Linked DNA regions of Coturnix japonica. The protein of the gene in region 4 interacts with the protein of the main gene of each other region in a pairwise test. Links are inferred from orthologs where the notes say so. Each region holds a gene or a part of one and is shown on either strand. Other genes may lie near its edges. The genes, in order: TRIM2, MYT1L, DPYSL2, TNIK, PAFAH1B1, myomegalin-like and SMARCE1.

Region 1 (4,592 bases), on a different chromosome or scaffold from region 4:
CGGCCCAGGTAAAGGAGGAGGCAGTTTCACACCTCTCAGAATTACTTGGCAGGGAGAAAAATCAACAGTGCTGGTGATAAACATCACTGATCTAATTCTGTTTTGTTTGCAGAGGGTAAAGGTATCTGCGAGAAGCTGACATCATCAAGCAGTCAGACTTCAGTGCCTTCAAAGTAAGCTACAAAGCATCAGTGCATGTAATTACAAATGAGGCTTCACCTCCGGGCTGCAGCACCAACAACTGAAGGAGATTGTTTAATATTCAGTGTGTACATGCCTAAAAATCATTGCACACACTATCAGAATTTCACCATCCTGCTGCACATCAATGAGCACTGATTAGTTTTGATCAAAATCAATTTATATTGTGCATAAGCGATCTGGGAGGAAAACTGGCATTGGATGTAAAGTGCAGAAGCAAAGGCAAATAGGCTGCTTTTTTTGGACATCTTTCTGGATATTGCAGAGCAGATCTTCAATGATACAGCTCTGAAAATGTTTATCCACCCCCAGATCTCCCCAGAAGAACTTCTGAAATAATTCAGGACACATATGTATTATCTCTTGTGTGCTTTATAGATTTAGGCAGCAGCTTTCAATGTTTAATCCAGGCAAGAAGTAGATTAACTGCCTTCAGCTGAAGCCTTCCAGCTGACAACCCTTTTCCTATGCACATGGCATTTGACGTCTGCCGTTTTAACATTTTGACATTTTTGTGAGTGACATTGTCCTCAAAGCTCACTGCTTGCCTCAGCAGCTGGCTAGCTGTCAGTCAGGCTCAAGAAGATTAGCTCCACAGCTGTCATCAGAAATGACCATTTTCACAGCTTAGTTTCATGGAAACTACAAATTTCTGATATATTATATACATATATATATTTTTTCTCCTGTGTATGAGGAAAAAGGGAGAGGAGAGGAAGAGAAGTTCCAAAACCTCTTTTCAGCTGTGACAATGAAGAAAAGCATTTCTATGTATACATCTTCAAAATGAAGCTGAAGTACTAAGAAGTAGCTTTAAGACAAAAGGTGAACCAAACATACAACCTGCTATTAGAGACACAGTAGTAGTACTATGAATATCTTCACACCTTTCCTTACGGAGAACAAGTCTCTCTGTAGCTACTTAATGGCTGTCACCTGTTAACTGTTAGAGTTTTTCAGAAGGCTTGTAAAAAGCCTACAGCATGCCTAATAACAAATCATGTAAACAAAGCAAGAAGCATGACATAGCAACACAAACAAACCAGCTATATCCTGTATTTCTCATGCAATTATCTGATACATATAATTGTTTTCAATAAGCAGATTTAATTCACAGCATAAGAATTCACGACTCATAAACCCCATAGGACAACGGTACTACAGAAGCTTTGAATAAGAAAGGAAGTTAAACTTGATGCTGTTTCTTTCTTAGCACAAGATCAAAAAACCCCACTAACAAGTGCTGATTCTCTTCTTTATGGTATCACTGCAACACCGAGAAACCTAAAACTCCATTATTTCCCAGCCACCTTACTGTCCTGCCTCCATGCCACACATCAGATAAACATTCTTTTCATCTGCAAACAGAGTAAAATGGGTTAAAAACATGCACTACTCACCGTAATATGTTCATTGTTCTTAGCAGGTCAGATTTGTGCCCCTTATGATGATTATTTGTTTGCACTTCCCACAATAACACTGCTAAGATTTTTAATAAGTCCAGTTCTACATGTATGAATTTTTAAAGGTTCGAGGTGAAAAGTACCATGACAGAGTTCTCTCCTGCATGTTCACAGCAGCTTGTTAATGTTGAAGCTTCTTTCTCACTGCGTATCTGCTATTATCTAACATAGATTGTTTTCTGCCTCTCTAGAAGTACCTCCTGCATTTTCTTAGCTTCTCCCCTCACAAAATGGCAAGCAGATGTCCCCAAAAATCAACAAACAACTGCAAGCTATTTGTTTCGGAAAGCTTTCATACATCCCTTTCTCTCAGCAGCCTCTCCACTGAAAGCCGAAACAATACTGCAGAGAAACACTCACTCCCAGGATGTTTTCAGCTTTGGTCCCTCTGCTTTTCCAAGCAGAACACCAAGGTAGAAATCACAATTAGCACTCTGAAAGCAACGCACAGGCAAAGAATACTTACATTTGCCACTGTATTTGTAATATTTGTGCACTGTTCCAGCAATGGGTGATTACAAAAAGGAGAAAGAGCTTTTTAGTCTGTCTTTCAAGCCTCGCAGCAGTGAAAGGAAGGCTGTTATCTGAAAGCTACTGATTTTCTATATGCTGTGCTTGCTTCCCATGCACATACAACATAGCCGCCAGATTTAATAACCATGTCAGCCTGCTTTCTCCATAAAGCAGCAGAGAGATGACAGGATGAAGATGAAGTAGTCAGCATGTTAATCCATAGGCCACATTAAGCTTTAAATGTATGTCATCATTTTATTTCTCTTGCAGAAAAAAACAAAACCAATCAATGCTATTTGCAAAGAAAAACCATGTGCAAAAGAGTTTCAGAAATATGAATCTGTACTTGTCTTCAGTGACACACACTACATTAAAGAAACGGCTCTCTTTTTATCAATTAACAAATCATAGGCGTTAATTTCTTTGCAAGGCACCCTGATCTTTAATCATACATTTTGCCAAGCCACATGTGCTCATACCCCAAAAGAAGAAAACCATTATCTGACAAATTAGTCAAGAATCACTCCTCTTCTGAAGGAATTATTTCCATACCTGTTTTTGCTGACTTCTTTCAGAAAAGCAGAGTTAACAAAAGGGGGAAATTTCCATTTACCATTTAAATCCTCCCACATACAGCGGTTCCTAGAGCTCTGGACTTTCTTATCAGATGTGGTCACTTCAGTGTCAACATGGAGCACTCCCATACCTCCATCTGCACAACCAGTTCAATGGAAAGGAGGGGCAAGCAGAGTTTGTGTGCCAGGAGAAGGTGCCAGTCATACAGTCCAAATCTAGGAACTAGAAATAAACCCAGAAGTGTACGGCCGAATTTACAACAACGCAGGGATGCTGCAGAGGTCTTACAACATCTGTGCATGCCTCTTTCTCTCTCATTTATATTCCTTTCACTTCCCCGGAGGCACCTGTCTCAGCGGGGAGTGGTTTCTGTGGAAACTACCAATAGTTGGTTTTGCCCTTGGAGAAAGTGTTACTATAGCAACCTTATGTAATGTATATGGCCTAGATTCTTGTTCATAATAAGGTAATGCTGAAGTTCTCATTATAAAATTGGAGCAGATTTGTCTTGGAGGCAAGAAACATAATTACCTAAAAATTATTTTTAAATGTGAAATTCAAAGCACAAATGATATTGCAAATTAAATGAGAGTGTAGGGGGCACTATCAGAGCAACACTCACAAAAAACAAACAGAGAACCTTCTGAATTCCAGTAAACAAGGTCTGTTATTTTGTATTTGTGGGAGGTGAGGAGGAAGGAAGACATTCAGCTGACGTTAGGTCTCAGCACAGCAATCAATACTGCATACTGAAGTGCGGAGGATTTTTCAGCTTATTTATTCTTCCAGCAACAAGGATCTCACTACATCTGCTCTGTTCAAAACTGAAACATCAGCCTCACTGTTGCTTTATTGCACATTATGAAATGGTGCCGCATTAAAACTGAAGGAAGTTCCCAAAAGGAGCTGTATGAGTCAGCGAGGCATAGCACACAACAGAGCAGAACAGAAAAGGCAAATTGCTGTTTATAATTGCTGAGCTTTCTTCTCAGCTGAGAAGACAAACCTCTCCACAACCACAGCAGGGAGAGCAGATCAATCAGATCCTACCTGGGAGATGGGAAGATGAGGACCCTGGTACTAGGGCTGTGCAGGCTGAGAAGGGTTCTAAGTCAGCAGCTGAAAACCTGCATGGCTGGGAATGACATGAAGGGGTGGTCATGTAACAGACAGTTAGTGACCCCTGTGAAACAGGTAGAGGGTGTGCCTTCCTGCCAGCTATGCCTGTAGATAGCTTTTTTTACTGGTAAGAGACATGCAAGCCAAACGTTTAAGAAATCGGAGCTCCCTGTTTACACAACAACTATGACTTCAGTTTGAAGAATATTGCTGGGCAAGAGTTGTGTTTTAACCTGGCAGGTTAAACACCACATGGTCACTTGCTCACTTCCCTCACCTCCCAGTGAGAGAGAGTCAGGAAAACAAGTAAAGTATAACTTGTGGGTTGAGATAAATCTATTTTCTAAGATAGAAAAAAGAAAAAGGATAACAATTATAATTTACATATATATATATATATATATATATGAATGTATATAACAAGTGATGCACAAGCAATTGCTCACCACCCCTTGACTGATACCCAGATAGCTAAAATCCTTGGGCACTTTGCTAAGAATGGTCTTGGCTCTGTACAGCACTGCTTCACGGCAACTATAAATATCAGTATGTTATCAACATTGCTTTTCCCCTAGAGCCAAAACACAGTCTGAAGAAAACAATTCCACCTCAGTTGAAACTAAGACATGAGTAAAATCCTACCTTTGAGGTATCTGTGTTGTGACTCAGCAGATCACTATCACTTCAGACCTGTTGATCTCACAACTCTTACTAGCATAA
Region 2 (4,086 bases), on a different chromosome or scaffold from region 4:
AAATGTACATACAAGCCCATCTTCAAAGTGCAACAGAGTTATCACAACACTCCTGAAAATACCATAACCTTGTACTTAAGGAAATTGAAACAAAGAGATCAAAAAATTAAAACCAAGGCCACAGAAGGAGTGAATGTCAAAGGAGGGAGTAGAAGTTTTGCCAAATAGGCCTGTGCTGAGACCACTAGAACATCAAGCCCACAGCTACATACATACACAGTTCTAAGCAACTCTTCATGTCAAGAACTTTTGAATGTATAAAAGTATTAGATATGTGAAAAGGTAACATAAATGAAATACAAATTATGTAAATATAACAACATTTGAGGACTGTAAAAAATGTAGATGATTAGTAGACCATAACGGCTTTTTATAGATTTTAATATAGAAGAACTTTACCTACTTCATGTTGCCATAGCTCCACAGAGGTTAATGAAGCTATTCTAGTTTGGAGCAATTGAGGATCCTGACACTTAAAGTGTCAAGACAATTCTCTAATGCATTCAAGACTGTGCTCTAAAGTTATTGCACGTAACAGATCCTTAGGAGCCTTTATGGTCTAATGAGCCAGAAAAGATGCTGTATACTCTTCATAATTATTTCAAAACTTACATAAAATTGTAAAAATTTCCCATTGCTTTTAATGGAAGACATCTGATTAAACTTTCCATAACTTTTTTACAGAACACTGGACAATCTTCTGCAAATCCTTTATTGACAAAGGGGAGAAATATTGCATACTGATATTTAATTCTGCAACATTTTTTCACTCCTTGTCACAATGGCTATTTTGCCTGAGTGATGGTTGTTACAGGACTCAAAAGGTTTTTAAATTCACTAAATTTCAGACAAAAGCTCTAAACTGCAGGGAAAAATTAGTTAGCAGTCCCTTAATTGTTCAAGTCAGAAGTCTTGAAGTATTTTTTATTGCAAACCTGGGTACCCACAAAGTTTCCACTTCATCATATCATATATCTCTTTGGATATCTTTTCTAGGAGTATTTGGAAGATTATATGTGAGTTGAGAACAAATGATATAAGCAGCTGTCTAACTTAAAGCTTCCTTTCTCAACAGCTACCTTCTTAATGTAAGGAAGGAATCATCTTTTCTTTCTTGCCTTAATTAAAGAAAGCATACAACTAACCACTCCAATATGTTTCTCAGTCCAAACTTGCACTACATATCTTGGTCCAAACACAACATTCTTTGGCCCAAACGACCACAACACCCAGCACAGTCTTTTGGTTCCCTGGCTGGGGTCTGGACCTATTATCATTTCAGCCTGCAGCTCCTAAAGGGCAGGATGTTTCAAAGAAGCTCAATAATTTACTGGAATATTAAGTCCACACTACTTCTTTTTCTTTCTTGGGAAAGGGCACCTAGTGTGTGATATATGTGAACAATATTTAAAACAACATCCACGTAGAAATGCAATAAACTAAAGTTGTCTTTCCCAAATACCCAACATCACAATAGCCTGCACCAGACCATATATATGTATATTTAGTTAAAACCAACAACACTTTGCTACAATACATCTCACAAGAGTATATGACTAGTAATTTCCATGCTTATCTAAGAGACTGGACATTACCTTTCTTAAAGTTTTGTTAAAAAAAAAAATATCAAAACCTTTCTTGGACCAAGATGTTTTCTGACTACCTGAATGTCTCAGGAGGATATTAGTCTTTCAAAAAAGAGATATATAAAGAGTAGGAAAATGCTCAACATCTCAGTTCATTTTCAGAAATGAATCTATTATTACAGTAACAAATAGAAGTCCCTACTTAGCAGCTCCCAAGAAATAATGGCATGTCCTCAACTTCCACTAAAGTCAATGGGAATTAAAGGTGTTCGGTGAATTTCAGGAGGTATCGAATAATTTATACAACACAGCACTGCAGGTACAGCTGTAGATATGTTACAGAGGAATGTGGTAAAATAATTACACCATAACGAGGATAATCTCATAAATTAAAAGTATTCCGAAGTTAACCTTTAGTTTGCCTTTTTTGATGTTTTTTATTTTATTTTATTTTATTTTTCTTCTGTGTGTATATACTCTGTGTGTGTGTGTCTGTCTTTTATATTGAATTATGGTCAAGGCAGCACCTTAACTGTTTCCACAATGGAATGAAACCAGTGAAGTGGAATGCACATAAGAAATAAATTGCTATTGATCTCAGCCCAGGCCACACCATGCCTTGCATAGCAAATGGTTTCCATTACCTTACTATCTTAAGATAATTAATGTGCAGTCACTGCCCCTATCTCATGTTATCGGTCATTCTGATACTGTTCAATTTCTATCAGGCAATTCTACATTTTAGATGGGAGAGGCTTCATCAATAACTGTCATTTGATGATAATTTTATAAATCACAATGCCACCTACCCAATCCAACCTGTAAAATATGCACTTCAAAGCTGATTGACTACCTGCTACCAAAACTCCACTCTCTCACATTTTTAATAATCACTATAAAATATATTAAATATGAGAAAAATCTTTGCCTCTTTCAACATGATCTCTTGTTTATTTCCCTGAAAACTTATTTTTTCAGTTTAGCCAAATGATATCCACTGAAATACTGTGCATATTTCTAACATTGTAGAACAAAATAATTTTTAATATTCACAGCATGAAACTAATTTACAATCATGCCATACTACCACAATTTAAACAAATTTAGCATTTTGTGGAATTAATAAATTCATTTCAGAATTCTATGCAAAACTTAACATGTTCATACTTTCTCATGACATAACATACGGTATATAGAAATATTACCTTTACCATAATATGGCTTTTTGACATGGCCGTCACTGGGTTTAGGCTTCCTGTCATCCCCAGAAAGTTGTCTTGGAGATTGTTCCTCAAATGATCTCATATTATCCCTCCTTCCAGCTTCCACTGCCATTTTTTCTCTCATGGCTTTTGCTCTCTCTGTTTCCAAAGCAATTGCTTTCTCAAGCAGGGTTAAGTTACCTTTTGTCATATCAAACACTTCTTCAGACCTATCTGAAGTAACAGAGGTGGTATCATCGTCTCTTTCATGACAACCATCCTCCTTTGCACAGCTAGAAAAAGTCCTAGATCTGGGGCTCAACTGTTCTTCAAGCCTCATTAGGTTCATCATATCAGAGTAATTCCGGTCTGGTGTTCTTCCTTGGAAGTCATCTTCTTGCCTGACATGCTGACGAGTGTTCATGTTTTGCTGTTGATTTCTTTCCTGTGGGTTTGTCTCACTGAGTTTCCTAGCCAGATCAAAACACTGGTTCCTTAAGCACTCCAAACTGCTGAGACACACCTCTTCATCACTCTCCTCCACCATTTTTTCCGTAAGTCCATTGTTCACAGGCTTCCCTAACATTACAAAGTTCATATTCCTATTATCTTGCTGAGAAGTATTGTCTGCATAATTTCTATCATTAATGTTTTCTGATAGCACTACACCATGTCCTTGTGCTAGTAATTTAAGGGAGTCCACTGTTTCCCTAACAACATCACTGTCTAAGTCTAAACTCAGCTCACTTTTCCGACCAATATTTTCATTTTTGTCACTATCATCTTCCAGACTATTAGATGTATTGCTGTTCATTTCTGATTCTGTCCTGGCTCTGTATGCTGCATCCTCAGCAATTTTACCAAGATTTAACAATGACTTGGCCACCAGTTCATCGTAATTATCATACTCATCATTATTGTTATCGTCTTTTTCTGTGTCTTGCATTATTCGAGTATTGTGACAATTCATTTGATGGTCTTCTGCATAAAAAACAGAAACAAAGAAAGAAACAAAGAAAGAAAGAAAAAGGAAAAGAAAAGAAAAAAAGTGGCTACAATTGGAACTGTTGTTGCAATCACATGGACAGAAAACAAACTGCATGTCAGATATTGTTAATTACACAGCAATTCTATTCAACTAAGGCCCATGTGCAGTTAAGTTTTATTAAGTGAATTTCTCTATAGTCCATAAGGTTATTTTTGTTTTCCTGCTATTCACAAGAATTTATTTCACAGTACTGATAAGATCAAGACAATCAAAATGCTGATTACTACTACTGATAAAATATTATGGCATA
Region 3 (4,556 bases), on a different chromosome or scaffold from region 4:
AGGCTTTCAGCTATCTGGGGCCCTTCGGCACTCTGCTGCTTCTGTGGATTGCCTGATCAGCAATGCTATGACCATTAATATTTATAAACCTTAAATAATACAGGACTTCAGGGTACCTGAGAGACCATATGTTGGCTTCCAATTCCCAGCAAAGCACCTGCGATCCTTGTGACCACAAGCCTGGCTGATCTTCTATCCAGGCCCCAGAAGGGGAAGGGTTGGAGCTTTCCCCCCAAGGGCGTCTGTCTTTGGCCTCCTCCCACCTTCATTAGTTACCAGATCACATCCCCATCATCATTCAAGGCCAAGCTGCAGGCTTCTTTCTTTCCTTTTAGTCTGGAGTCATAGTGTATTGTGTTGTGCATTTACTATGGAGTTTCACTTAGTTGTGACCTTGGGTGATTCTTCTTTCCCCCCCCACCTACTGGTAAAAATGCATTGAGTTGGGTATTGCTTGCAGGGAGAGAGAGCTCTGAGATTTTTTTTTTCATGATTATTATTTATTTATTGCTTTGGATATTGTTTTGGTCTGAGTCTTGCAAAGTCTTGCTAAGGTGCTGGGTAACCATTTGGACACAGATGCCTCTGAATTACCAGTTAATGTGCATGTGTGAAGATGCATATCAATGAATAATGCATAATAATACATAGCTTGGCGATTGGGTTTGGTTCAGAGCAATATTGCACACGGATTTAGCCTGAATCAGTGGTGTTAATAACGTTTATCAGGTAGAGACCACCAAATGAACACCACTGTGTGCTTCACCACTTACCTTTGCAATAAAAACATCTCTTCCCCGCCCCAGCTAACACATCTCACCCGGCCTCGCAGAAAATACCCCATAGTAACGACAAGAACAACTCTCCCTCTGATTCGGCACCCTTTGGGGCCGTGTGTTCAGCGATAAACCCGACGGAACGAGCCGGCGATGGTCCCGCTGGCTGCAGCAGCAGGAGGCGGCCTGGCCCCGCGGTGCGGGTGGTGCTGAAGGGACAGCTCCCGCAGGCCCCGCTCTGCCCCCTCCTCCGTACGGCTGCGGGCGGCCTCCCCGGGGAGGGTCTTGGGGGGCTTCTGGCATCGCCTGGGCTTAATTGACTTGCTAGGTCACTAATTTTCCTTTCGTGAGGTAAGTGCTGGTTAACGGCTCATCTTTCCCTCATCCTCTGTTCCCACACCCCTCTCCCATCTGTCTGTCTCTTTCACTCCAGTGCCATTCACTCCCCCCTTTTCCCCCCCTCCCGATTAGGGACTACCCGAGGTCCGGCACCAGCGATGCCCCAAACCCTAGAGAGATGAGTCAGCTCTCAGCCTCCCTCCGGCCCCAAAAGCCCAGCCGCGATCTCCGCCGCTCCCCGCCCTCCGGCTGCGCTGCCTTGAGAAAAGTGAGGAACAATAGGATTCCCGGAGCACTCCCCGACTCCACCATTGCGGGGCTGGGGGAGGTAGGAGAGAGGGTGGTGGGAGGAAGGAAGCGATCCTTTCTCCCCCGCATGGGGAACACGCCTCCGGAGGTGCGGGGGGTGCTCGGGTTCCTCCAGCTTCTCCGTAACTTGTAAGCGATAGCAACGCGTTGGAGAAGGCGACGAGCATCGATGGGGGCTGTTGCTCCAACCTGATCGAGTCCATTTGCCAATTCACCACTCGCATCACTTCCGGATCAGTCCCCAGTTTCTGCTGCAGAGTGAGGATTTTTTTTTCTTCTCCCTCCCTCCCTCCCCATCTGGATGCTGGGAACTTGAACCCTCCTCCCTTGATTGCAGCAGGATCTGCCCCAACCTTCCCTCAACTTTGCACTGCATCAAAGAAAAAGAGAGCGAGCCACTGACTATATTGTATCGATGGGGGCAGGGGATTTGCCAGGCACAGCCCTTTGCAATTGATGCTGCCGTGTCTCTAGGACCCGGAGCGATCTTTTTTTCCTCCTCTTTTTGCTTGTGTGTGTGTGTGTGTGTGTAGCGTGTGTGTGAAGGATCCTCCTGGTTACTGCTGTTATTATTTCCCGTTAGCAGGGAGATCACACAAGCCATGGCTGAGAAGAAGCAGTCTGGCCGGCAAGGAGAGGAGGAAGAAGTACCAGCCTTCTTCAAAAACCTGGGCTCGGGCAGTCCAAAACCTCGGCAGAAATTCTGTGGCATGTTCTGCCCAGTGGAAGGCTCCTTGGAGAACAAGACCATCGACTTCGATTCCCTGTCGGTGGGCCGCGGATCTAACAAAGTGGTGGCAAAGCAGAAGGATGTTGCCCACTTGGGTCCGGATGCTCAGTCCGTCTATTCCAGGCAGAGTGGAAAGGGAGGGGAACCATCTGTTGATTTCGGAAGAAAGGTGGAGATCAGGAGTGCCACTGGGAAGGAGGCACTGCAGAACCTGAATGACAAGGTGGGTGCACATATATATATATTGTCTGTGTGTGTGTGTGTCTGATACAGAGATGCAACTTGCACATGCAGTAGGCTGCAGGAGGGATATTTCATTGCCACCCTGCGGTTTCCTGCTTTTATCACTTGCATGTATGTAGCAGTGTCTTCCCCCTAAGGAGCAGCATCTCTACTACAGCCTTCTTGGCAGACCTTTAATGTTATCCTTGTGCTCTCTGCAGGTGTGTGTGTATGTGCACGGGGAGGAGGGCAGAAGAAGAAAGGAGCCCCTGCACACACAAACACCCTCCCTTTCCCCGCCCTGCCTTCCCATTTGGTGGTAGAGACTGACTTTTTTTGTTTCCCCAGCACAGCGGTAGCAAAAAATGCCCCACCCAGATAGTGAATGCAGCTCACGGGAACAGAAACGCATTTGTAAGCAACAGAACATCAATGAGCCTCCACCTACAGGGATCCATTCCCTGCAGGTTTCTTGCAGGGGAAGCTCAGCCATGCACTCCTACTCCTCCTCCCAGGGGAGGAGAGACTCCGAGTGACCCATGGGAGCTGTATTTCAATACCAATTTTGATGAAGGCCTTTGGCTACAAAGGGCATTTTTGCCTCAGGAAAACGTGCCAGGACTTTAGCAGAAATGTGCTGTTCTCTTAAGAAATCTACTGAACTCCTCCCAATCCTTTAAGACTCCTGAAGCTATTTTCTCACTCTTTGTATGTGTCATTGTATAATAAACCTATCCTTTTCCTGAGGCAAAAGCCATTTAAGCCACATGGTTCAAGCTGACCATGCACACTTTTCCCCCCTACCATAAATAGATTTAAATAAGCTTTATTCATATCTGAGCCGTGAAATACTCAGTGTGTTCCTCCAACAGCGTTGGCTCCTATGCATAGCCTGGAAGAGCTGGAATGAATGAAGCACCAACCAGCAAAATTTCTAGTAATATACTGGGATAGAGTTTCTGTGAGTATTGCCCCAGTGGGTTTAAAGAGCAGCACTTTCTTCTGAGATGAGCCTCTTGATTTTCACTAGGGATATGGTTTGCATGCACAAGGTTGGAGTTTGCCTGGGATTTGTAATATGGGCTCGTTCCCTGGTTTCAGTTGCTGTATTACCAGGAGCATTGCTGGGGTCTTACCCTCCCCACGTCGGACCCTTCTCTGATTTTTCCTACTACAGTAACCTGAAGGCTCTATCCAGACATGCTTATAACAGCTGTGATTTACTGTGAGATCACAAAGGTAGGCCCTGATTTACAGAAGTTCTACACAATCAACCTCATCAAGTCAAGCGAAAGTTTGCCTCTATTGATACCTATGGTTTAATTTGAATATGGTTATGATTCTGCTCACCTTCCATGGTTAATTATTTGTCTTACACTGGCAAAGGAGAACCATAGGAATAAAGGCCATATATCTTGGGAAGTCAAAGGTTTTGCAATATGGGGCATTTTCAGGACTAATTTAGAACACTTTGATGTCCTAAAGGATGGAAATATAAACAGGTAATGTATTCATTCTGAAAAGATTAATTACTGTGTGATTGAGGGGTACAGTATATTGAAAACTGCAAGTATAACATGGCAAAAAATCAGATGTCTACACAGATTATTGATCACATTTCTGTAAAAGGGCTTTATTTTGGTTGTTTTTAAGGCTTGTCATAGAATGTTAACTGTGAAGGTATGAAATAATGGGATAGTGAAATATTGGAGTTGTTTCTTGTTACCTTTGTGTAGCACTGGTGCCAGTGGATGTGCTGTGAGGGACTGTGTGCATTTGGGTAAGTGCAGTCTTTTATTAGTCTTGCTATGGATTGGCACTTTATAACGAGAGTGTTTTAGCTTTAATGGTTTTCCAGCTGACTGCATCTATAGCTTGAATCAATGGTTAGATTCTCAGCAGGTAAAGCTGGCTTTGCTTCAGTGCAATTAGTAGGAATGCATTTAGGATATGATCAAATACATTACACTAAAAAATACTGCAGGAAATGGCATTAAAAGCAACACTGTATTTAAATCAGGTAGGAGTTGAAATGCTGAAGGCCTTCTGAAATTCTGCAACTGGATTTGGCCCAGTGTTTTCAAACCTTCTTTGGCTATTGGATGCTATTTTCATGTGATGTGAATCTAAATTGTAGGGGAAAGAAACTGTGTTCTAACAGATAAGATCTTGAAATTATA
Region 4 (4,857 bases):
AGGTCAACTGAACAGAATAGTTTATATGTGAGCTGATGCCCTTTAATGAATAAATCAAAACCACCGACCCGACATTAGCCCTGCACCACCAACAGGTGAGCTCTTTTTGGCTCATTAAGGTGCTCACTGACCAAGGCTGGGGACTTCATCCTGTAGGAAAAGCTGATGCTGTTATATGTCTCTGTCTTCCAAAAGGGGGTGAAATGGCACAAACACTTTGCCACCAAGGTCCCAGTTTCTGCAGAGCTGAGCATGGGGTGGGGAAGGAGCTCAGGAAGCTGTTTGTAGGAGAGGTGCCCCAGCTCCTGCTCTGGCACGTCAGGTGGAAGTGCAACTTTTGTGTTCAACTGACTCACAGCAAAACATTTTGGGCTGATTCAACAGAGCGCTTTGCTTCCTGTCATAACAACTCCAATTGCAAGGTTTTGTTTGGATGCTCCTGGCAGAAGGAGCGTATACAGAGAGGCACTAAAAGAGTTGAGGACCGATCATTGCACAAGACGTAGAGGATCTGTGGGTTGGATGAAGGGAATGAAGCCATCCAACACTGTGACCCCATCCACGCACCTCACATGCACCAGGCTTTGCTTCCCAACCCAAAACCCCTCACTGCCACCCTCCCTGCAATGAACTGCGATCGTTTGCAATGCACAAAGCGCATCTCCAGCCCAAAGTGTAAGAAAACCCCATCCGCCTGCCAGTTGACTCATGTGTAGGGTTTCCACTTCCCAGCTCTGCATATTGTGAGATCCTGACATGAGCCGGGGAGAGCTGATGTTGTCAGCACAGCTCCCATACGGTTTTCTCAAAGGCAACAGATTTTTTATACATATATATTTATACATGGCACCTGGGTTGGCAGAAACTACATCCGAAAAAAGGGAAACAGGGAAAACACTCAGTGCTGAGTCTGCTTAGTGGGGCGTGGAGGGGTTTGGGCCATTTCTGGGGTTGTTTAGTCTGGAGTAGGCTCAGGGGAGATCTTAGTGCTCTGTATAACACCCTGAGAGGAGGTTGTGGCGAGGTGGGGGTCGGCCAATGCTCACAGTGATAGGCCAAGGGGTGATGGCCTGAAGTTGCAGCAGAGAGGCTGCCTTTGGGTACTGGGAAATGTTTCTTCCCAGAAGGAGCTGTCAGACATGGGGACTGGGACAGGCTGCCCTGGGATCAGTGGAGTCACCATCACCATCCCTGGAGGTTTCCCAGGAGAGAACAGATGTAGTACTTTACGACACGGTTTAGTGGGCAACAGTGGTGGATGGACAGGACTGGATGATCTGAGAGGTCTTTCCCGACCTTAACGATTCTATGAATTCTAGACGACGGCTCTCGGCCAAATGCAACACACTGACCCAGCCGATGGCTGGGGACAGCTCATCTTGGGGTCACTTTGGGGTGCGGATGCGATACCTGGCTCAACCCCGGGGCGCAGCCGCGCACGGAGCCGTACAAAGCCGGGCAGCGTCTCCCCATCCCCAACACGGAGCGCGGCCCCACGCAGACAAAAGGCCTCGCGATCCCCACGCGTGGCTCCTCCGCCCGCCCCCTGCCCGCCCCCTCCCTCCCATCACTGACTGACAGGCGGCCCCGGCGGCGAGCTGGGCCGGGCGGGCGGCGATGCGATGCGATGCGGCGCCGCAGCCGCCATCCCGGCGCAGCCCGCGGCGTGCCCTGCCCGCCGGCAGCCCCTATAGCCGCCCCATAGCGGCCCCTATAGCCGCCCCTAGGTGCCGCGGTGCGGGCGGAGGGGCAGGGGCGGCGGCGGCAGCTTCTCCCTCCCCGGCAGCCCCGCATGAGGGGAGGCGTTAAATAGCTCTAGCGCCTCGCCGGCCGCCACTGCCAGCTCGGTGGTGGCGGGGCCGCCTCGCCGGAGGCGGCGGAGGAAACATGGCGAGCGATTCTCCGGCACGGAGCCTGGACGAGATCGACCTCTCGGCGCTGCGGGTGAGGAGCACGGCGGAGGGTTGAGGGTTGCGGGGCGGAACGGGGCCGAGCTGCGGGCGGTGCACACGTGCGGGAGCGCCGGGCTGTGTGTGCGGACGTGCCTGCGCCTATGGAGGTGCATGTGCGTGTCGGTATGGACATGTGTGCGTCTGTCCGTGTGTGTTAATGTACGTGCATGTACATCTGCTCCTGTGCAAGCGTACGTGCCTGTGTCCGTGTGTGTGTGTGTAAACGCGTGGATAAAGCATGTACATGTCCCCCCATGTATGTAAGTGTACGTGCGTACAGCCTGCACGCATGGAAATGTGGCTCTGCACACACGCACGTCTATATGCGCGTGCCCCTGATGTGTGTACGCACCCTACGGGCACGCGGCTCCGTGTGTGTGTGTGTGTGTGTGTACGCCCAGTGCCCTCCTGCCCCTCCTATGGGGCGCCGTGGGGCCGCTCCCCGCTGTGATTTGGGGTGGGGGCCGCGCGGAGCTCCCCCCGCCCACAGCGGGGACGGGCAGCGCCGCGTCTCGTCGCGCTCCGTTAATCGCACGCAGGGACGCACGGCCGGGGATGCGGGATGGATGCGGATGAGGGACGTGGGATGCGGATGAGGGATGCGGGATGCGGATGCTCGCACCGCTTCCCACGCAGCGCCCGCTGTGCCCCCTCCTCTCTTCCCCTCTTTGAGATATCGCTGTCCTGCTGCCGTACCCTTGAAATGTCGAACGTGTCAGCTTCCGCCTGTGGCCCGATGCCACCCCCAAGGCCTTTTTCCTGCAAGTTTTTTTTTGTTATTGTTTTTTTTCTTCTCCTTTTTCCCCTTTCCTCTCCATCCCTTCGCTCTCAGCAGCTCAGTGCTGGGGGTGGGAGGCTGATGGGAGGCTGCTTCCATCAACCTGCTGGCGTAGAGAAAGAAATACAATGTAGCAGAACCAGCTAAGGACAAGTGCGAGTACGTTTTTAGAATCAGAAATAGTATTTGTTTCAGTGGAAAGAAAAAAAAAAAGAACAACAACAAAAATCAGTCTTTGTTCACTTGCCCTACTTTTTTTCCTGGTGAGTTTCTGGCTGATTAATAGTGTGAGTGTTTGCTCAGCAGGACGTGGTGCACAGCAGGCTGGGACCCATCGCCATCCTGTGGGGAGGGGACCTGCAGTGGTCCCTTCCCTGCTGGGTGGGAGGGAGCTGGAACCACTGGGGTTAATCAAGGGTAGAGGTGTCCTTGGGGGGGGAAGGGAGGGCCCTCTGCTTCTCCCCCACCCCCATTAGCCGTGTATGTATCTATATTTAACCATCAGCGTTAGCTGTATGTGAACCAGGTCACTAGTTCCTTTTAAGACTACCCCCACGTGCTCAGCTCCTCTGTTCTTGTGGCTTTTTAATAGTGTTGTGCTCAAGATGCAGCCTGGATTTTGTTTTCATTTTATGAGGAAATCTCTACCCCTGCCTGTCTGCAAGCCCCCAGGGCATGAAAACACGAAGCCCCCCCACTTCCCAGCCCAGCCCTTGGGAGGGTTTCATAGGGGGGCTACTCCTGCAGGAAGGGGGTTTGGGGAGTACCATTATATAGTTGGGATTTTTGGACTCCCACTATAAGATTAGGATTAGAAGAAGTTGGCTGTATCCAGGAGGCAGTCTCCTGATGGGGGGAGAGACCTGTTACGGTGCTTTCTTTTAAATCATGAGAGATATGTTGGTTTATAAGGGAGACAAGAATAGGGCTTTAATTTGCCAGGGAATAGATCTTCTTCCAAACCAAGCTCTTTTAGCACTTAGAATAATTGTTAAAGGTCATAAATTCAGCAGATCGGGCAAGAAGCGTGAATCATTCTGCAGGGCCTGAATCAGAAATCAATAGTAAATTTGCTGCCTGAGCACAAAACTCGGCAGCAGGGCGTAATTCCCCGAGCCTTGCAAAATGTCATTTATGGGAAGATGAGAGGAATGTCGGGATTGGTGCTGTGGATGGGTCTGGGTGGGGGAGCTGCTGCTGTGTCTGCTCAGAGAGGTGAGGGGTGGCTGCTGGGGTGACTCAAAATCTAGGAGGGGGGAGAATAGTTTCTTCTTAGCAGTGGGGAGAGGAAGCTCTTGGGCTGCTTATCGCCAAGTTTGAGTCACTGAGGTGTACCAGGAGGTTGGGTTTGAAGAACAACATGCCAACACCTATAAAGAAATAAAGAAGGTGGACCTCTGCCAGCATGCCCCATCCGAATGGAGCACAAAGGTGTGTGCAGGGCTGGGTGCAGAGGGGACACCAAAGCCCCCGTGCACTTGTGCTTTGCTACATGGGTTTATGTTGGCTGAGCTGTGCTGCTTCATGCACTCACAGCCTGGAACAAAGCACCAAATTCTGACTGCAGTGCATGGCCTGCTGCAGCTCGGAGCACACCTCGGGCTTGCTTCTGCCTCCTTTGCAACATATTTCTATCAATCATGTTATCCTGCGCTCATTGCCATGGTAGCCAGGTGTCCCCTGTGTCAGCACAGCGAGGACTGCAGGGAGAAGCTCTGGCATCAGGAGGGCTCTTACAATAGAGGTCTTCGTAGCACTGGTAATGAGCACTGTTAATGTTGCAGAAAACTGTAATTTAAAATGATGAGGCCATTGAACAGGTAGTGCTGCGTATTACACTGACAAGGGGATAAGATAAACTGCATTATAATGTTCTTTTGTCCAGGCTGGGAGGTATTTCTGCTGGTCTGCTCAGCATGGTGAATAGCCCCACGGCCTGGCGTTGCTATTAGCAGAATCATGATTAATGCAGGGATTTATGCAGGTTGTTGACAGAGCAGATTTTGCTGTTGTTTTTTTCTTTGGGAAGAAAATGAGAACGCATGTGAGCAGTGCTGCAGCAGGCTGTGCTCCATGGTGCTGCATGCACAGCTGAGCGCCACAGGAGAGCCGTCAGGACGGCGCTGG
Region 5 (4,086 bases), on a different chromosome or scaffold from region 4:
ACTTAGGTAATGGAATTAGAATCGAAGCTGAATGAAGCTAAGGAAGAATTTACATCAGGTGGGCCTCTTGGTCAGAAACGAGACCCTAAGGAGTGGATTCCTCGTCCTCCGGAGAAGTATGCTTTGAGTGGACATAGGAGTCCTGTCACTCGAGTAATTTTCCATCCGGTTTTCAGTGTAATGGTTTCTGCTTCAGAGGATGCCACAATAAAGGTATGTGCTTGCTGGAAAAAATTAAAGGAAGCTGCTAAGAATGTAGCATTAGAATTTCATGGTGGATGTGTGTTGTAGTGATGAAAGATTGCTCCAGATTCTGCTTTAGCTTCATTAGGGACAGTTATTTCAAATGTGATTTCTGGTATAATATATGAATTTTGGTTTTATACTGATCCAGTTAGTATCTGCAATTATGTTTTACCGTGACTTGTGAAGAAATACTTAAGCTACTGTGGATCGGAGACTGGAACAATAAATGGGGGAATACGTTTTGACTGCTCTGTAAGAGGGCATAGGGAGCATACAGAGATGAGAGGGAAGAAGACAGTGGCCTCAAGTCATCTAAGTCTTAGAGTAGAGTGGTTATGCAGCTGTATTCTTAACTGAAAAATGGTTCTTCCCATTTATTTTAAGTGACATGTGCAGGTCCCGTGAGGTTGCTATGACTTTCAGGAGAGACTTTCAGTAATTCTAAACAATCTTCACACACCTTTATTGCAGTATACAGTGACAAGAACAGATTTGTTGTAGTAGGCAAGTAGTTTCTCATTTTAGCACCAAGCAAAGATATAATTGTGCATTTTGTTGCTCTCTGAATGTCACTGTTTAAGAGAAATTGCCATCTGTGTTGCTTTGAAAACTTATTTGGGAAAATGCAGTCCTGACAAAGGTTGAAAGGTATTGAAAGTAATGTGCTTAGAAATGTAAATTGTTCTGACAGTGAATGTGGTTATTTTAGTTGTGGTTTGGGTTCTCATCCCTAACCCAGTATTTTCTGGTTATTGCTCTGCAGTAGACGAAGTGTTTGCTGTTTGACTCTGAACCAGTGAATAGTTTCTGAAACCACGAAATAGGAGCAGGGGGAGTTTTTGAAGGTGCTTCCCCCACTAGCTGAAAACAGGCTGTGTACCAGAGTTGAGGAAAGAGTACAAAAAGATGTATAGGATATATGAGTAATGATCACATTAAAACAGTGCTTTTTTCAATGTTATTAGGCTTTTCTAGGTCTTTCTTTGTTTCTTGCATGTTCAGTTATTGAATAAGGTGCCAGACTAGTTTGTAGAGTGCAAATGTAAAGCTGGAGAATACAGTGAGTAATAATATATTACTGATAACGGATTTTATTTGCTCGTCAGGTGTGGGATTATGAGACAGGAGACTTCGAACGAACCCTTAAGGGGCATACAGACTCTGTGCAAGATATTTCCTTTGACCACACTGGCAAACTGTTGGCCTCCTGTTCTGCTGATATGACCATTAAGCTATGGGATTTCCAGGGCTTTGAGTGCATCAGAACTATGCATGGTAAGGTTTTAAGGAAATGGATTTAACAGTCTGTGAAGTAGAGGTATGGTTTTGTTTTGTGGTGGTTTGGTTTTTATGAATGAGGAAAACTGTAGATGTGGCAAGGGGAAATAAACTAGAGTTTTACTCAAAGCAAAGAGGGTTATTTTAATGCTTCAACTGTTCTGTAAAATGGAGTATATATTCAGTGTCTGTGGAATGAAATAGCATCTCAGACCTATATGCGATGCTGTGGGGAAACACCCCATAATGATACTGAAATGAAATGGCAAATACAGAGGAGATGTGCACTGAAAATGATAACAAAACTATACTGTCAAATCACTAGAAAGCTGTCTTCATCTGCACCCCTCTGTTTGCAGAATGCGCTGACTCAGGAAGTAAACAGGATGGAAAGTGTTCTCGGTATACTGTACAGTCTTTTGTTTCGGACTTGTCAGATTTCAAATGAGTGTACCCATTGCATTAGACTCAAAAGCCATAGGGGGGAAAAATGGGGAAGTAAGATAACCACCACATGGATTCCAGTTATTGACAGCAATTTGTTGTTTTGTAAACTTGATATAAGAACATTTTATACTGCTTATCTCACTTCAATATCGTCTTGTAGAAGTGATAAGCAGTAATAATGTTTGAGAATTTTTATGAAAATAAATATGCCAAAGAAAAAGACCTCATTTCCTTTGAAACATTATCTGTGTGGTGCATCATAACACTGTAATCAGGCTTACCTGGTGATTTCAAATGCAGACACATAAGCTGTGGGGTTTAGCAACTGTTACCAAGCAAATGTTGTTTTTAGTGCTGATTGTCTGTTTTTAAATAACCTGAAAGACATTTTTGAAATCCTAAAAGTTGCTCAAGAGCTGGACTTCATGGTTTCTAAAAATATAAGTGACTTCTGTAAAACTTCAGGCTTGTGTTCAGTGGTTATTCCATAAAGCATGCTAAAGGCTTCTGCTGTAGCAACTTGATCAAGATGAATGAATAGCAGATCCTGTATGCTCTGTAAAAACAATATCGTAGTACCACTTAATAAAAGTTTGCTTTTCCTTTTAGGTCATGATCATAATGTTTCTTCGGTAGCCATCATGCCCAATGGAGATCATATAGTTTCTGCCTCGAGGGATAAAACTATCAAAATGTGGGAAGTCCAAACAGGGTGAGTGAAGTTTTGGGTGAACATCATTACGTAAAGAAAACCCACAGAAAAACACTTGTAATAGGAGATACAGCATGTGCACCTTAACACAGTCATAAGTGGATGGGTTCTGCATCAAGTTATTAAGTGCAGGGTGTGCACCACTCATTAAATGTATCTGGTTTTATCTTTCTGGGAGCTGTGGAGGTATAATGCTGTAACTCAAGACCAGGTAGGAATTTAATGACTAATAGCAAATTCAGAGGGATTGTGACAAGTAGGAGGAGAAATCTGCTATCTTTCTTGAAACAGGAAGATTTTTTTTTTGCATTGTGGTCTGCTTTGTTATTCAGTAGTCTCTCCGACCCATGCATTTACTCCATGTTGACTGTAAAGGCTATCTGAATGATTTGTAAATCTCTATATGTTTTTAAAATACCTATGTAATGGAAGTTAGAGTGTCAGCAGCCTCCTGTTTTTCTCCCTTTAAAAGTATTTGCTGGCTCTTAACTGCTTGTCCTTTTTTCATGCAAGCTTCCTCCCCATGAACTGCTTTAGGGCCTTGCACATCAGTCAGGACTGATATTCCTGCTAAAGTTTAACTCGAGAGGAGGTCAAGTGTCCTTACATATCAAATGCAAGCATAGTGGCTTTATTGCAGTGCTTATATATCATTCTGTATTTCTCTGTTTTGAATAGTTACTGTGTGAAGACTTTCACGGGTCACAGAGAATGGGTGCGCATGGTGCGGCCTAACCAGGATGGCACCTTAATTGCCAGTTGTTCTAATGACCAGACAGTGCGTGTTTGGGTGGTAGCAACAAAGGAATGCAAAGCTGAGCTCCGAGAACATGAGCATGTGGTAGAATGCATTTCCTGGGCTCCTGAGAGCTCATACTCCACCATATCAGAAGCTACAGGATCAGAGGTAATGTTTCCAGTGCTAATATTTAACTTTTGAGTTTTGTTCTCAAAGCACTCGGCAGGCATAGCAGGTGTTTTGGAAGTTGGTGGTTGTTTTTTCATTTTCACTGCTTATACTTGTTGCACCGTTAATCCCCCATCTTGGCTTTGTAGTCACTGTGCTCTTCTTTTAACAGTAGGGCCCTACCTATGCACTGATGAAAGGGACATTTAGAGAGAGGCTCTGTTTCAGAGAAGGCTGAGAGTTGGACCACGCTGGCAGACTTCCATGAAACAATGTGAAAGGCAGCTCAGCTAATGTAATGTGAACATTGTGAGGATACCTGGCAGTGAAAGGTGTGGGGAGAAGAATAGCAAGTTAAAAATGCAGAAATGAATCTTCCTTGGGTGTAATTCAAAATGCTGTTGAAATTAGATTAACCTTTGACCTCAGTTTCCTAGCGTACAAAGTTAATCACATGAGGAAGCGTTCTCAAAAGTCTCCATTTGTATGGTCATGG
Region 6 (4,086 bases), on a different chromosome or scaffold from region 4:
GAGGACAGAGGAACTGAGGAGCAGAAATGTTGCCTGGACACTCTGACCTTGATTCCACTGGCTTTTGTCACTCAGTGTCACTCTTGTTTTGATCAGGCAATAAGCACAAGTGAGTATGAAAAAAATCCACCTCCTGACCTTCCAGCACTGTCCCAGTCCTTCCTTGGGCTGGGCTGTGCTGCTTTATTGTAATCCCCTCCCTGACATTGTCACATTCTGGAGGGGACAAGGGAGCTAATTTTAGGTCTCACTAATTCTTGGCAGAGCCTGCTGGGTGTTTACTGTCTCTTCCACAATTGGGGTTGGTATTTTTAAAGCAGCTTTGCTAAAAAACCCTTTGAGGCTGAGCACAACTGTAAGGCTACATAAGCCCTGTTCCTGCTTGAGCAGCTGTTAATGGTTTATCGGTGAGATGACATGTTGAACGCTCTTAAGCAGCTGCAAGCAGGTGGCTCACTTCTATTCCCAGGATGAAAGTGAGCTCTGGAGACATCCCAATATGTGATATTTGGGCCAAGCTTTATGTTTTCCTACCTGCACAGTTCCTCTGGGCCACATCTTTGGATGAAGATATAGGTCTGTGCAGAATCTCAGTTGAAAGTTGTAGTTGCTTCAGTTGAGCAAAACTTGCTTAATCCTGACTATAATGAAGCTTACTGCCAGCAGCCTCTTAGTGAGAAATAAAATAAGGCTAGAGCCCTGTTGCCCAAACATGCAGCTTCCATCTTGTGTGCAACTCTCTTGTCCCTGCTGTCTGACTAGTTCCTGTTATTGCTTTGTCATGTTTTAGAGGCATCAACAAAGCAGCCAGCAGATTTGCTGCAGTCCTAATGGGCCCTGGGGTAGCTGTGAGGTTCTCTGTAAAGGTGCAAACGTGGAGGTTTTTGTGTTTTCAGGAAATACTGCAAAGAGCTTGTGGAGCTGCAGCCCTTGCTGGACCCCCACAGCAGGACAACAGCTGCCTGACAGAAGAAGGTGAGTGACAGCTTCTCTCAAGGTCCTCAAACAAGTCAGGACTTTTTTGCTGTGGGGTAAGCATGCTTACATGAAGCCATTAGAGAGTGACGAGCTTGGAGCAACAGCAAGTGTGTTGAAATAAAACTGTGCCTCTCCTTTGGATGAAGGTTCACAGATGTCTTGGGGGTGGGTGTGTGGAAAAGAGAGAGATTGATTTAAGGTGAGTTACTTCTTCATTGCAAGAAGTTTTGTAGCGTTCAGGGTAGGGATTTTGACTTAGTGGTTCAGATTAGAATGAGAATAATGCAGCTGGTTTGGGTTGTGCCTTAAGATCAGGACATGTCATATTTGATGGAGTGAAGACAGGAGGCCTGGGGTATTTCTATTGTCTTGGGCTGCTGTTTAAGAATTAAGTAGGGAAGAAAGGTGTTTAAGAAGAGGTGGTGTGGTGGGGAGTGTAATCATTGTGGACTGGTCTAATCTTGCAGTCAGAGGGAGCAGCTGACATATGGTAACACTGCAGTAATCCAACTGTCCTTGCAATTGCAGCATCAGCAGCAGAACTGGAGAAGGATCTTGCTAATGCCAGAGAGGAACTGGAGCTAATGGCAAAGAAAGAAAGGGAGAGCAGAGTGAGTTTGTGCTGAAGCCTGTGGTGGTCTTCCTGCCTGCAGGGAACCCTTGGGCTGTCCCTTATAGAGATTTTGGACCCCCCCTCCCCAACATGAGTGTGCCTCAGTGAGAGATAGGGCAGCACAGTGGGGTTTTACCTTTCTGAAGTTTTTCATACTCTCCTCTTTTGTACCTAGCGGGAGCTTGCTGCTCTCCAGTCTGTTGTGACCACGCAGGAGGAAGAGCTGCAGGTGCAGGCTTCTGATATAGAGTCTCTGACCAGAACCATCCAGATCAAAGAGGACCTCATCAAGGTGAGGTAACATGCTTTGCTGGGTCAGCTTCTTCTGAGATGGCTGCAGAGGTGTCTCTTCTTTCCCCACATCCTGTCCTTCATGGTTACTCATTTCCAATGAATGACAAGACATCAGAAACCAAGCTGTAGGCTTGTTATGATTATCTATGACCAAGTATGTCTGCTAATGCAAGGAACCTCTTCAGAGTAACATGGCTGTTTGTGTATAGTTTTGCTTTTGGTTTGCCTACAGCCCTCCGATTTGGGCCAGAAGTTATGGGCCCCAAATCTTGAGAGTGTCATTATTAGACTTTTTGCTCCTTGCTTGCAACTTTCTTGAGCACTTTAAACAGATGTTGTGTTCCTTCCTAATTCTTGCTTCAAGCAGTTGATTATGGTTAATACACACTGGATACATTGGCATTTCTTTCTTAGGAGACCAGGGTCTTCTCTAACACTGGAAAAATGTTGGTAACTGCATTCCATGGAGGGTCACAAGGTTCCAGCTGTCCTTGTTATTGATCCCTTCTCCACAGATCCCTCCTGCCTCTTGCTTTTCAGGATCTGCAGATGCAGCTGGTAGATCCTGAAGAAATTCCAGCAGTGGAACGGCTGACACAAGAAGTGCTGGTACTTCGTGAGAAAGTGGCCGTAGCAGAGTCGAGAGGACAAGAGGCTACTGGAAACAGAAGGCAGCAGGTAGTGTGTCCTGCAGGGCAAGTTTGAATGTATTTGTGTTTTATCTGGTGCTCAGTTATAGCGCTTTATTCTCAGCTGTTGGATATGCTGAGGTGTGCATGTTCTTTAAAGCTGGCTGCATATAATATAGGGAAAGCAAAGGATTGGTTCCCTTTTTTGTCTCAAGGGTATAGACTTTTGGGGGATGGTGTCCAGGGTTGGCAGTACTTGATTGCTTCAATACAAGCAGGAGAGGTGTTGGTGCATCTGGTAGGGGAGACCACCATATCCCTGAGCAGCCAGTACCTTTGACTTATGTGTTACATCTTTTCTGTTCTCTCTGACCAGTTGTTACTGATGCTGGAAGGGCTGGTGGCTGAGAGAAATCGGCTAAATGAGGCTCTCCAGGCAGAGAGGCAGCTCTACAGCAGCCTGGTAAAGTTTCACACACACCCAGACAGGTAAGCAAAGCTGCTTTGGCTCCATGCTGCCCTGTTTTTTGCCGGGATTTGTGTGCGTGGGCCAGTGGGGCAACTCCTGAAGCAATGATTGTTTTAGGAGTCCAGATCTTAGGCTACCTCTTTTCCTTAAGGAGATTGCAGTGGCCAGCTTTAAATGATACATAACCTCCTCCCGTTGCTGTCTCTTGTTCAAGCCCTGAGGTTTCCATCCCCGTTCCTTGGCTTACTCAGTCCCTGCTCAGTTTCCCACACACATTTGGCCATATTTCAGAGGCTGCCGTTTTCACCCTGCCAAATTCCTCACCAACTGCTGGGTTGATAGAGATGTGTCTAGGCTCTTATCTAGGAGGCTGTCCCACAGTTGCATACCACTGCATTCTTTGTCCTCTGTGCTAATCCCCTGCCCTTCATGGGGCTGCAGCCTCTGGGATATTTGAGCTACCTGACTGCAAGAGAGCACGTACATGAAGTGCTTTGGTAAGTACTGAAGAACAGCTGTGACTAGGGGTCTCCTACCATGAGCTGGAGCCTTTTTTGGGGATGGCTGGGCTCTGGGGAGGCTGTGATGTGAGGCAAGAGGTGTCCAAGCCACCTATGGGAGTGTGCAGGGCCTGCACCTGCGGTGAGTGGAACTCCTGGATGGAGGAGCCGGTTTGGTGTGTGTGCACTTGCTGCACCTATCTAACACTGTTCCTTTCTGTGTGGTATGTCTGCTTAGCGCTGCGAGAGACCGCACTCTGCAGGTGGAGCTGGAAGGGGTCCAAGAGCTGCGGGGACAGCTGGAAGAAGCTCTTGGAAGAAGCTTGGAGCGTTTGAGCAGGCTGGACACACAGGGCCCCATAGGAGGTGGGGAACAGGAGCGTGTGAGAGTCCTACCCCAGCATGCCTTCTGAGCACTAGCGCTCGCCCGCCTGCCACGGAAATGGTTCACTAACTGAGCGAGCCTGTCTCACTGACTCTGGGAGGGTTGCTTTGGTACTTAGTAATGGTACGATAGAACCGGTGCAGGGTTTTTTGTTTTTTGTTTTATTTTTGAGCTGCTTTGGAAATGGCGATCAGTGCAATTCACCTTTGTCTCATGTA
Region 7 (4,086 bases), on a different chromosome or scaffold from region 4:
GCGTTCACCAGACCCCCTGTATGTAACTTAATGGAAGTTGTGTCCTGACACATCTTTTAGACTTTTTTTTTTGTTACTGTACATCAGCTGTGACTGGTCAGTTTTTAGACCCAATTCAAAATGAAGTTGTTTATAATTGAGTGCCGAATTTAACTGTTTAATGAATGGATTTAATTGTACAACATCAGTGTTGAAAAGATTGCCTCAACACCAAAAGCCTCTTTCAAAACTGGTGCTCTGCAACTACTGCTGTTGAGGCATGAACGTGCTCATAAAAGACTTCCAGTCACGTAGGGTTTGCTTTCCATGCTATTACCTGGTGTATCTCCACGCTGTGGCGTGGTGTTTTGTTTCTTAGTCGAAAAATGATACCATTCTGTAGGGTTTTCTCTTGGTTTTGTTTTTATCTTCACAACAAAAGATGACAGCTCTGCCATGTCTCTAGGTTGGTAAGTGCTGAGGACTTTTACAAGACTGTTACTGTGATCCTGAACTACAGAGGGGAGCTTGTCCACCCGCTGCCTTGTAGTTAAACCTGGCTGGCATCCTGGTTGTGCACAGCCTGATCAAACCTGAGCTGTTTGATTCCAAGTCAGTAGAGAAGTACTTCCAACTCTTAGTTGAAACAAAATGAAGGAATTCTAGTCTCTTTAACTTGGTAGCAGTGTTTAGATTGTAAGCTCCTTGGGGCAGGGGCCATCTTGCTTGTGTTTGTCCAGTCCTAGTAATGAAGAAACTTGACGCCCTCAGGTATTGGTGCCAGGATCGTAGCTTATCTCATTTTTCATTGGAAATACCTGAAATCTCTGTACAAATTCTAGAGTAGGCAAATTTTAAGAGTGACCTGAAAGTAAACAATTCAAAGGGAAAATATTTCAGAGAAAGTGAAAACAGTGATGCAGTCCTGCTACCAGTAGTCTGGCTGCAGCACTCTGTATCATCCCAGTGCAGGGATGGATCAAAGAACGCAAAGGCATAAGTTATTTGGAAACTGGCTCATGGCATAACTGGAATAAAGAAAGAGAAGAAATGGAAATAAAAGACATAGATAAAACTCCAAAGAACTATTGAGAATATTTTAAGTCAACTCTTCTTTATTTGATCTGAGTTCATTTGATAAATGCCTCGTTCTGAAGTTTGACTTCAAATGACAAAAATAAAGCGTTCTTAAGACCTCTCAAGCAGTAAAAAGCAGCTAAAAACCCAACGCCATTTGGGCTGAATGATTGTGGAAGGAGTTCTGATATGTAAAACTTAAAAGCTGAGGGAATCTGGTGGTGTCTCAGTCAGGTAGTTCAGAAATGAAGTCTGTATAACTGAGTTTGAGTAACACCTATTTCTGTCAGGTCTGAAATTGTCCAGTGGTGCAATCAAACAATATTGGTCACCTTTCAGATTGAGTACAATGAGTCCATGAAGGCCTACCACAACTCTCCTGCGTACCTTGCCTACATCAATGCAAAAAGTCGTGCTGAGGCTGCGTTAGAAGAAGAAAGCCGACAACGGCAGTCACGCATGGAGAAGGGTGAACCTTACATGAGCATACAGCCAGCAGAAGATCCAGACGGTAAGCAGAAAACAGCCTGTGTGTGTGTGCAGGGAGACAGTCTCACCACAGGGCCTGTGGCATAAGCACACGCCAGACAGAGAAATTACTTCTGTGTAGCCTTCCTGGTGCTGAGTGTGACTTCCTTTTATTTCAGTACCTTCACTACTTTTATTTTGTATAGCTAACAGCTCCCAAAACCTAAGGTGGCAATGCAGTGATAAATCTACCAGCCCTTAATTGTGTATGAAGTGATACGGACAGTTCAAAAGAAATTCGTCTGCTTAAAGCTCTGTAGTGGCTCTAACAAATCAATTACCAAACGATGAGCCGCTTCCTTTAATCCAGCTTGAATGGAATCCTGCACTTCATGACCAGAAGAAGCACGTCGTTCTGATAAGCTGAATTCTGGCATGATTAGGAGCACCTGAACTTCAAAGGTTCAACAAAAGTCAATTGAGATTGTTTAGAACAGAGTTATCCTCACTGTTGACAAGTTGATGAGAAAATTCTGAAAGTTTATTTGACTGCAAGGAAATGCACCCCACCCAGCAGGGAAAATCCAGATTTGTGCAGTTAAAGTCTGCTTTGAAATTGGTGACCCCGTACGTACTTGTTGAAACCTGAGGGTGAGAAAATCTGCTCAGTTACACCCTGAGATAAAGCCTGTGGCAACAGCGCCTTCCCATGTGAGGTAACTGCAGAACTGATGTCAACATGTTCAGTGCTCCAAGCAGCTGACATTGTGGGGCTTTCATTTCTGATCCACACTATGTGGGCCAGAATTAATGCAGGCAGAGCCAGCTGTGCCAGCACCAGGATGGATCCACTCATATTTGGGATGAATTGCTCAAATATTTTAGGATGAACTTTGTGACACAAGAAAGCAGTGTTGGGCTTTGGTTTGTTTGTAGTCAGTGCTGATGTTGGTGCAGCCTCATTAGCCCCAGTGCTTGCTTTGGGGAATGAGTGCCTTTGTGCTTCCAACTCCTGTTTCAGATTACGACGATGGGTTTTCGATGAAGCACACAGCTACAGCCCGCTTCCAAAGAAACCATCGCCTCATCAGTGAGATCCTGAGCGAAAGTGTGGTTCCTGACGTCCGCTCTGTTGTCACCACAGCCAGAATGCAAGTTCTTAAACGCCAGGTTCAGTCTTTAATGGTTCACCAGGTAAAGATAAATGATGGGAGGGCAGCACGCCGAGTTGCGCGTCCTTTGATCATCCCTGTGCTGTTCTTGTTGGGTGTCTGTGCTTTGTGCGCTCCAACTGCTGATCTTGGGAGTGCCAAGATGTGAGATTTCATTTCCCATGGCCTTTTTTACTGAGAGTTACCTTAAGCTGAACTTTTCCTTGTTACACACAACCCTTTTAGAGGGTATATTGGTAGATTCGGTTGCTTATGACTGCAGTCTTGTAGCAGTTCTTTACCGCACAGACCCCATTTATTGTTCAGCCTTTTTTCCTTCTTGGTGTATGTTGGGTATTGGATCAAGGAAACATTTTGGTGTAAGGGTTTAAAACATGTCTGTGTTTAAATGTTGGTTTGAATATTGTTGTCCATTTCTTCAGAAGTAAAGCAGCTTCATTTATGACATTTATTAATTTTGTTACATTTATTACATTTCCAGCGTAAACTGGAAGCTGAGCTGCTGCAAATTGAAGAGCGTCACCAGGAGAAGAAGAGGAAGTTCTTGGAAAGCACAGATTCCTTTAACAATGAGCTCAAAAGGGTACGAGTCTCCTTCCCCACTTACTCTGAGCAATCTACTGGTTCCCTGCTCATACTGATTCTCTGCCCACTTCCATTTAGTTCCGTATTGTCTGTGATGAGATGACTGCAGTGTCCCAGGTCTGGTGGAGCGTTTGAGTTGCTTCTTCTGTAGTTTCTGAAGCTTTTAATGTAAACTTATTCAAATCACAATATTTATTGTGCACGTATTGCTGCATGTTGAGATACCGAGTAATAATTGAGTTTTCTTGGTGCTTTGTCTTTTCACAATGTAACTGGGTAATAAAAGAGCTTTTTTCTAATTGCTAGCTGTGCAGTTTGAAGGTGGAAGTGGATATGGAAAAAATCGCAGCTGAAATTGCTCAGGCTGAGGAACAGGCACGCAAGAGGCAGGAGGAAAGGGAAAAGGAAGCAGCTGAGCAAGCTGAGCGCAGTCAGAATAACACAGCAGCTGAGGAAGAGCCGGCAGCCAACAAAATGGAGGAGAAGAAGGAAGAGGAGAGCGCTCCGATGGAGACAGGTAACCACATTTCAAAGCAGCTTCAGAATCCCCAAAGAATCAGTATTAAAATACCTCCATAGAGCCTCTGCTTGGCCAGAGTGAGTGCCCCGGATTTCAGAAGAACATTCAGAACAGTTACCCTGGTGGACACAAGTGTTTGTTTTCCTTTAAGTTGTTCCTTTTTAAAAAGATAGAGAATATCACTAAGGCAGTATGTAATACTTTGTGTGAATGTACCCAAGGAGAAAAAACCCAAACATTTCTGAATGTTTTCATCTTTTAGACATGGGTCAGGTGAGAACAACT

The links.
Region 1: the proteins of TNIK (region 4) and TRIM2 interact in a two-hybrid assay, tested with the Homo sapiens proteins (2 studies listed by BioGRID and IntAct). The link is inferred for Coturnix japonica from reciprocal best matches to the Homo sapiens genes TNIK and TRIM2.
Region 2: the proteins of TNIK (region 4) and MYT1L interact in a two-hybrid assay, tested with the Homo sapiens proteins (2 studies listed by IntAct). The link is inferred for Coturnix japonica from reciprocal best matches to the Homo sapiens genes TNIK and MYT1L.
Region 3: the proteins of TNIK (region 4) and DPYSL2 interact in a two-hybrid assay, tested with the Homo sapiens proteins (2 studies listed by BioGRID and IntAct). The link is inferred for Coturnix japonica from reciprocal best matches to the Homo sapiens genes TNIK and DPYSL2.
Region 5: the proteins of TNIK (region 4) and PAFAH1B1 interact in a two-hybrid assay, tested with the Homo sapiens proteins (2 studies listed by BioGRID and IntAct). The link is inferred for Coturnix japonica from reciprocal best matches to the Homo sapiens genes TNIK and PAFAH1B1.
Region 6: the proteins of TNIK (region 4) and myomegalin-like interact in a two-hybrid assay, tested with the Homo sapiens proteins (2 studies listed by BioGRID and IntAct). The link is inferred for Coturnix japonica from reciprocal best matches to the Homo sapiens genes TNIK and PDE4DIP.
Region 7: the proteins of TNIK (region 4) and SMARCE1 interact in a two-hybrid assay, tested with the Homo sapiens proteins (2 studies listed by BioGRID and IntAct). The link is inferred for Coturnix japonica from reciprocal best matches to the Homo sapiens genes TNIK and SMARCE1.

What each region holds. Positions count from the first base shown.
Region 1 is NC_029519.1:17,657,459-17,662,050, reverse strand, and holds the start of TRIM2 (tripartite motif-containing protein 2), read right to left. Parts: upstream 3,070-4,592; 5' UTR 2,791-3,069; exon of another isoform or gene 2,730-2,790; intron 2,242-2,729; exon of another isoform or gene 2,131-2,241; intron 1,994-2,130; exon of another isoform or gene 1,602-1,993; intron 1-1,601. UniProt on the Homo sapiens protein: UBE2D1-dependent E3 ubiquitin-protein ligase that mediates the ubiquitination of NEFL and of phosphorylated BCL2L11. Plays a neuroprotective function. May play a role in neuronal rapid ischemic tolerance.
Region 2 is NC_029518.1:84,926,008-84,930,093, forward strand, and holds part of MYT1L (myelin transcription factor 1-like protein), read right to left. Parts: intron 3,770-4,086; coding exon 2,792-3,769; intron 1-2,791. UniProt on the Homo sapiens protein: Transcription factor that plays a key role in neuronal differentiation by specifically repressing expression of non-neuronal genes during neuron differentiation.
Region 3 is NC_029537.1:1,712,340-1,716,895, reverse strand, and holds the start of DPYSL2 (dihydropyrimidinase-related protein 2), read left to right. Parts: upstream 1-1,339; 5' UTR 1,340-1,682; intron 1,683-1,734; exon of another isoform or gene 1,735-2,010; 5' UTR 2,011-2,026; coding exon 2,027-2,377; intron 2,378-4,556.
Region 4 is NC_029524.1:17,292,707-17,297,563, forward strand, and holds the start of TNIK (TRAF2 and NCK-interacting protein kinase), read left to right. Parts: upstream 1-1,582; 5' UTR 1,583-1,887; coding exon 1,888-1,944; intron 1,945-4,857. UniProt on the Homo sapiens protein: Serine/threonine kinase that acts as an essential activator of the Wnt signaling pathway. Recruited to promoters of Wnt target genes and required to activate their expression. May act by phosphorylating TCF4/TCF7L2.
Region 5 is NC_029534.1:8,198,838-8,202,923, forward strand, and holds part of PAFAH1B1 (platelet-activating factor acetylhydrolase IB subunit alpha), read left to right. Parts: intron 1-6; coding exon 7-213; intron 214-1,352; coding exon 1,353-1,521; intron 1,522-2,580; coding exon 2,581-2,683; intron 2,684-3,361; coding exon 3,362-3,590; intron 3,591-4,086. UniProt on the Homo sapiens protein: Regulatory subunit (beta subunit) of the cytosolic type I platelet-activating factor (PAF) acetylhydrolase (PAF-AH (I)), an enzyme that catalyzes the hydrolyze of the acetyl group at the sn-2 position of PAF and its analogs and participates in PAF inactivation.
Region 6 is NC_029523.1:4,150,827-4,154,912, forward strand, and holds part of myomegalin-like, read left to right. Parts: intron 1-896; coding exon 897-975; intron 976-1,506; coding exon 1,507-1,589; intron 1,590-1,766; coding exon 1,767-1,883; intron 1,884-2,425; coding exon 2,426-2,563; intron 2,564-2,890; coding exon 2,891-3,003; intron 3,004-3,721; coding exon 3,722-3,849; intron 3,850-4,086. UniProt on the Homo sapiens protein: Functions as an anchor sequestering components of the cAMP-dependent pathway to Golgi and/or centrosomes.
Region 7 is NC_029542.1:4,150,025-4,154,110, reverse strand, and holds part of SMARCE1 (SWI/SNF-related matrix-associated actin-dependent regulator of chromatin subfamily E member 1), read left to right. Parts: intron 1-1,395; coding exon 1,396-1,567; intron 1,568-2,545; coding exon 2,546-2,718; intron 2,719-3,177; coding exon 3,178-3,279; intron 3,280-3,587; coding exon 3,588-3,798; intron 3,799-4,086. UniProt on the Homo sapiens protein: Involved in transcriptional activation and repression of select genes by chromatin remodeling (alteration of DNA-nucleosome topology).